Drosophila melanogaster: one gene and its partner. The main gene of each other region encodes a partner of the protein of the gene in region 2 in a complex. Each region holds a gene or a part of one and is shown on either strand. Other genes may lie near its edges.

What was found.
Region 1: Gar1 (region 2) and NHP2 share a complex: the UniProt entries of both Drosophila melanogaster proteins name them as parts of the box H/ACA small nucleolar ribonucleoprotein (H/ACA snoRNP) complex.

Annotation. Positions count from the first base shown.
Region 1 is NT_037436.4:14,800,828-14,804,277, forward strand, and holds NHP2 (NHP2), read right to left. Parts: upstream 1,342-3,450; 5' UTR 1,264-1,341; coding exon 1,013-1,263; intron 953-1,012; coding exon 721-952; 3' UTR 501-720; downstream 1-500. Other genes in the region: gnu (giant nuclei), read right to left, coding at 1,652-2,346, 2,405-2,432. UniProt on the Drosophila melanogaster protein: Component of the box H/ACA small nucleolar ribonucleoprotein (H/ACA snoRNP) complex, which catalyzes pseudouridylation of rRNA. This involves the isomerization of uridine such that the ribose is subsequently attached to C5, instead of the normal N1.
Region 2 is NT_033778.4:21,095,662-21,099,415, forward strand, and holds Gar1 (Gar1 ribonucleoprotein), read right to left. Parts: upstream 1,645-3,754; 5' UTR 1,571-1,644; coding exon 1,381-1,570; intron 1,047-1,380; coding exon 666-1,046; intron 609-665; coding exon 466-608; 3' UTR 297-465; downstream 1-296. Other genes in the region: CG34396 (uncharacterized protein), read left to right, coding at 2,451-3,754. UniProt on the Drosophila melanogaster protein: Component of the box H/ACA small nucleolar ribonucleoprotein (H/ACA snoRNP) complex, which catalyzes pseudouridylation of rRNA. This involves the isomerization of uridine such that the ribose is subsequently attached to C5, instead of the normal N1.

The sequences.
Region 1 (3,450 bases), on a different chromosome or scaffold from region 2:
TTGCATACATTGCATTGCTACACGAACACATTTAGTGTTAAATTATATGTAAATTTAGACACCACACACATACAGCAACTAACTAAAAAATAATAATAATAGCAAACACCACACATCGAGCACCACGAGAACAGAAAATGAAAAGAAACAGATTTAGATTCAGAAACCAGAAGCCTAACGAAATCCTCCATTTCAACTGTATTGTATATGTAAAACAATTTATATGAAACCAGCTACGCTGAAAATACTTATAAAAAATCCCAAAAAAAAGAGAAAACAAAAAAGATCCCCAAGGGACAGCAAAAAAAAAATCTTGCACTTTTGGTTTCCTTTGCCGGCTGTGTCACTCCATCTTAACTGGTTTCGAAATTACTGTCTTGCAATTATCCATTTCCATATCAGCAGTTTTGAAACTATCTCTATTAACAAAACTAACAACTACTATATCTTACTATATAGGATCTCTTGGCTTATTGAGGGAACAAGTTAATAGTTAATTTGGCAGTTAAAAAAAAATTGTTTATTCAGCTATAGGATATATGTAAGCACCATCTGCCTAGACTCTTATAATTTATATAGCAACGAAAACTATAAAATCGTATGCAAGAGTTTATCAAATTGATTTCGTGATGCCAAAAGAATCGGCATTCTCCGAAGTTTATTGGTACTTTTTGAACTTAACTAGGTACTTAATTAGCCGATGGAACTAATCCTACAGATCTAGACGGGTATGTTTAGTGCAGACAGCTCCTCCTTGACCTCGTCGTACAGATCCTTGTACTCCTCGTTCTGGCGGACCAGCAGGGCGACTGTACCGCGCTTCACGCCCATGGCAGCTCCAAGATCCGCTCGACTGGGGGTGTAGGTATAGGGGATGCCCTTCTCCTCGCAGACGGCTGGTAAGTGGCACATGATGTCCACAGGTGTAACGTCGCCAGCAAAGATGCAAATGCTGGAGAAGATGTGGGTATATTTCTTGTTGTCTTGCAGTCACGGATCACGCAGCACTTACCCAGTTTCGCCCTTGCGCAGGCGAGTCTGTACATCCTTAAGTCCATTTCGCAGGAAAGTCTTGTGCTTCATGGCCTTCTTCACCAGTTTGTAGCACTTTTTGGCCAGTTTTTTACCTGCCATCGGTTTCGCGATGGCGTTCACAAAGATCAGCTTGTCGTCGTAGGACTCCTCCTCCTTGATGGTAACATCGCCGCTGGCCACAACGGACTCATCGGCATCCTCGGAGCGCTCTACTTTCACTTTGCCCATTGCTTTTTTGATAAAAACGTGGATATTTTGTTTAAACGGCTTTTTGTTCGAAACACGTGTTCAGTGTGACCGCGGATCGACTTTTGAAGCATACTAGCGTGCCGCAAAAATATACTAAAATAAATACCGTTCAGACATGGATTAATGCGACTTACTCTATGGTTTGTGACTTTACTAATGTTTTTAGCTAAGTTCATACACTGAGAAAAATTATTACTTAATGTTAAATGAATATTAAATTAAAAATAGAGTTCCAATCCCAAGCCCCAATCACCGCGCAAAAATACTTCAAGACCACATTAAACATTTATTAAAATCTCACATACAAATTCAAATCCACATGACATAAAACAGTTTAAAATTAGCAGAAATCCTACAGGATATAAAATCAGAAGAATTGCTTGGCCAGTTGGATAATATTCATGGCCAATCGGATCTCCCGGGCGCCGCGAACGCCCAGTGCCGCCAAGTCCTCCAGGGTCATTTGGATGAGCACCTCGATGTCGATCTCCTGGCGCGTGAACAGCTCTGTGAGATGCGCGTTTCCGGTGCGATCGAGCAGGGATTTGACCCGAGGACTCAAAGTGGGGTGCTCCACCGGGGAGCAGGGCTTATAGCGTGAATGATGGATACTGGGAGTGGGACTTCTTGGGTCCTCCACTTTAATCTTTCGCGCACTTTTCAACTTGGATTCCTCCTGCCTCAGCCGCGTTTCCTGCTGCAGTCGGATATCCGGCTTTGGTCTGTCTTCTCTCTTAGTTCTCAGTAGTTTCGAATCTCCAGATTCTCCCAGTAGCCTGGTCTCCCCATTTATAAGGGTACTTTGACTTGTGGGCGAAAATACGGAACGCGTGCGCATAAATTTCTGTGAAAATCGACGGGGCAAAGTGGATTCCGATAGTCGTTTTAACCCGGACAATGCCGGTCGACTGTTAGGAACCGTAAGATTATTGTTCTTCGGCATTCCAAAGAGTCCGTATCTCGCGGTACCCTTCCTGCCAACGCCTCCAGTGGGCGTGACATCTTCGAATGTAAAAGCTTCGGTGGAGAGGGGAGTGAGTGGGGTCAGTGGGGATGCGGGATCTATTGAAAGTTAAAGGATATATTTTAAACTTGTTTACAAAAGTATTAGCAATACTACCTCTATAGACGCGATTGTAGCGCTCCATTCGGTAATTTTACAAATAATATTTTCCACGAGCACAAAAAAGACGACAAAAAAAAACGTGCAATAAGATTTGCAAAATGCAACTAACTGTAATTAACTGCTTTTTTAATGCGACCGCATTAAGAGCGGTTAAAATTACCGAAAATTCTGTGATCAGGCAACTCATAAAATCCTAGTCATAGAACCATGATCAGTGCTGAAAAACGATCCTTAAAAATAGATCATATAATGAGTTTTTAAGATCTAAATTACAATATGTATATTTCTTTTCAAGAAAATAAATTTCAACAACAGTCACAACTATCACAAAGTGCTTAAAAATATGATATAAGAATTATGCCTAATAACTAATTGTAAACTACAATAGTAAAAATAATTCATAAAAAACTCGAGAGTTTAGAAACTATATAAAAATGTGTTTTGTTTCTGTTAAGGTTTTTGTGCCTGTTTATAATTGATTAAGAATAAACGTTAATCTGGCACATTAGAATATTCATATCCATGTTTTTTTGCTATTGTTAAATCTCTGACTTTACCCTCGTGATTTGGGTGAAATAAATAAATTAGAATAAAAGTTCAAGGAACTCGCCACGCATTAATATTTACCATTTCACATGTCTAAGTACCAAATATCGTTTTTATACCGTCTACATAATATTATTTTGCTTCTAATTAAAGCGAGTTTGTCCAGTTTTTCAGTCGTTACTTTTGCGGTGCGATTTGATTTGATTTGCTTCGGTTTTTGCGTCGAAGTTTTTGCGACAAATCTTTTTTTTGCGAATTGGCAGTCAACAGATGAACCGATAAAATGTAAACAATTGTTGCACAAAACGTGCAAATTAATTTAACGAAAATAATCAATTAAGTTAATTTAATGACGCCGAAAATTCACAATTCTTGCGTGCAATAATGACAATATTCATAAAGAGCACTTGGAGTAAAAATTGACAATTTTTTTTATGAAAATGCCTAACCATAAAACATAAAAAATTTTACATTTTGTTATAAAATTTGCACAG
Region 2 (3,754 bases):
CGAAGAATTCATAAAATTTCAAGGGAATTCGGATGAGTGCGATTCTCTCATAAAGTCGATACATTATTGATCCCCAAATTCTAGACGATGATAGTTGTGCAACCACTTCATATAAATCATTAAGGTGCTCTAATCAAATGTATTATTTTCACACAAAACCATTTTTCGTTATAAACCACTATCTTCTCAATAAGTGAGCAAATGTTTGACATTCTATTGTTAATTAACTGTCTTCATAAATGATAAAATATCACTTAAACTTCAATTAACTATATGTTTTCAGTTATATCATGTTTGTAAATTTGTAGGAAATTTATTTTAGTATCATTTATGGTACAATATTCGATTGATTGGTCAGCGAACAATACCCAAATGATGAGGTTTTGCTTAGAAACTATTTGGACATGTACAACAATTGGATTGTACACTTCTTTAAATGTTTTGATTAGGATCTGATACTGAAAACTACCACCGACCCCGACCACCGCCGCCGCCGCCACCGCCTCCTCGTCCTCTGTTAAAACCGCCGCCGCCGCCACCTCCTCCATTGCGACCAGCACCTCCTCGGAATCCGCCTCCACCTCGTCCGCCGCCACCACCGCGACCACCTGTTGATAAACACAAGTTAGGACTTTGGGGTGCACTCATGAAATTCACTATCTTACCTCCTCCGCGGCCGCCACCTCGGCCTCCAAATCCACCGCCACCGCCGCCTCCACCTCGGTTATTTGTGAAGGCTTTCTTGGCGCCTTTTGGTTGTGGAGGTTTCGGCAGAAATCTGGCGATGGGTAACAGCTTTCCAGGGTCGATAAACAGTTTCTGATTTGGCTTGAAGCTGTTGGCGTAGACGTTGTCCGACAGCTTGATGGACACGCTGTAGTCCCGAACTGTTCCAAAGATTTCGTCGATTTTGCCTACTTGCTCCTTGTTTTCAAGGAAAATGGGCGCGTTGAAGTAGGGAACATCCTGAATATCAACTTTGCACACAAGGTCGTTTTGGCAGGAGTAAACATAGTTGCCCAAGGGGATGACTCTCTCTGGTGGACCTACAATTAAAAAAATAAGATATATTATTAAAGTGACAAAATGGAAATGAGTATTTGGCAATTTGCCTGAACATAGCAAGCATTTAAGACAGCGTATACCTATAGGAGACTTCCAGATGTGTTTTTAGCTAATATATTTATATATATAGCCCATGATTATAGCCTACAACGGCTTGGCTATTCAAAATTTGAGAGAACAACGTGGTTATTGTAATTCTATTCGCACAATCTGTATTAACTGCTTGTTTTAAGTGACGTAGTTAGCCTTAGTTCACAGGCTAGCTTAGTTTGGATGATTAGTTATAGGAATAGTTGGCGACTTTCATTCACTTACCAGTGTCGAAGGCTCCACGGCCGCCACCACGTCCACCTCCACCTCGACCGAATCCGCCGCCACCTCCGCGTCCTCCGCCACCTCCTCGTCCACCTCCACCTCCACCAAATCCTCGTCCTCCTCCGCCTCCGCCTCCACCGAAGCCTCTTCCGCCGCCGCCACCGCCGCCACGAGGTTTACCAAATCCCATTTTCAAATATTATTAAAATTGAACGCAAAAACACGTGCGCGTTCCGATCAACCAAAATATTTAGAGACGGAAGAAATTCAAATTTCGTTATCGACTTATCGATAGCCACGGCCATGTGTTTCAGTATATACGGTTGTATATTATACGGTCACACTAGGCACAAGGGGCGGATTTTTTGAAACTTCTATTTCAATAAAATTATTTAAAACTATTTTTAACAATCGACCTGATTATTAATTTCTTAGTCTTTTTTTTTAAAAACAGTTATTTTTTTATGCATATGAATAGTTTTAATGAAGATCGTTTAACTAAGACAAATTCCTGGTGCTTTTTTTATAAGCATTAAATATTCACTAAGAGAACATAAAACATTGAGTAAGAGAGAATCATCAAAAACATCATCGGATGCATTATAGATATATATATATATAGATATCTATAGCCGAACAGCTGTTGAGACATCTACCAAAAATATAGACAAGCAAAGTGAAAATGAATATTTGAATTTTCTCCAACTGCTGAGAGCAGTTGGATGCCAGCCGTGGACGAGGAAGCGAGAAATAGAAGCTAAATCTATTCGATCGTGTCGCGACGTCGAAAGAAGCAGATACATAAAATTCTATATGCAAATAGATAATATAGCAAAATAATTTCAAAAATTTTCGGACAAGTGCAGACTTTAAAAGTTTCAGAAAGTGCACAATACATACATATAATACGAAATTGCAATCGAAAGTGATATAATTACCCGAGGCATATTTTCATATGTGGAATATGAACGCCTCGTTGGGCAGTTAAAAATAGATTAATAGATGGCTAAATGACGAGCACGAGCACAAAGATAGATCGCGAAAGTAGCACACGACTGCGGCTGGACAAGATGGAGCAGCCGATGGACGCCAGGCAGCAGCAGCGCCATCGAAGGCGCCTGGGTCGCAGCCACCGGGAACCGACGCCCGTCACTGGAGACGCCCTGCCCCAGGACGATGCCAGTCCGGATGCCCTCCCTGATCCATCACCTCAGATGGTGCGCATGCAGATCAGGCCACCCGGCTCGATGTCCGCCCACGAGAGCAAGATCCTGCGAAAGCGGGACAAGTCCTTCGCCAGCTCCTCGGCGCGTAGTCAATCGCAGCCACGGGAGGCTGAGAAGCTGAGTAGTCCGGATGCCAATCATCTGATCAAGCATCGCAGCCTCTCCTCGCCGCGGCACAAGGAGGAGTCCAGCGAGAGTGAGCTGACCACCGGCAGCAGTAGTCAGCAGCAAAGGCCCATTCCTAATCTTGGCCAGACACAGGATACGCTAAGCAGATTGGAGCAGAATCTGCAGCGCTTCGAGGACGAACGACGGCGTTTCGAGGCCGAGAAGAGGCTCTTTGAGCGCGAGAAGCGGGAGCACAAGATGCGCCATCGCCAGCAGCTGGACAACGAGGAGCGCAAGCGCCTCCTGCAGAGCTACCGCAAGCTCAGCGATCGCATCCAGCTGCCGCAGGACGAGGAGGAACGGCGCCGCCTCATCCACAGCCTGCGTCTGCAGCGACACGAGGCGCCCAAGACTCGGGGTCGCAATCGAAGTAGCGGCTACGATGAGTCCTCCACCCAGTTCAGCTCCTCCGATGCCGATGCGACGGAGGAGACTCACCCGCGGCCCCGAGCACCTAAGATTCCCCAGGGCTTTGTGGCAGCCCCAATCCGCGGCGCACCTCCACCGCCGCCATCGGCGTCGACAGCTCCAAAACCACCGGAAAGGCTGTCTGTGAGTCGCAACAACTCCCTGTCGCCCGTGAGACCACAGCGACGATCCAAGACTCCGGAGCAACGGGAGGAGATCCTCCGGAAGCACGAGTACTTGGAGGTGGGCGAGTCCAGAGACGAGGTGATAAAGCCCCGCATCTCGGAGGCAGAACAGCAGTCGGAGCTGATGCAAAAGTACATGGAGGCCGCTGAGCGGGCGGCAAAAGCGGAGGCCGCCCTGGCGGAGCAAATCCTGACGGCGGAGGGAGTGCGTCGCAGTCACAGCTTGAGATTAGCGGATAAGGAAGAGAAGCCTCAAAAGCGCAGCTCCAGTTTGGAGCGTCCACTAAGACCCAAGCGATCGGGCAGTTTGGAAAGAAAGGAACAGGTAACTCAAGAGCTCCTTGAGGGAACTACTACAAATGAAGCTGATACGGAACCAAAATCTCT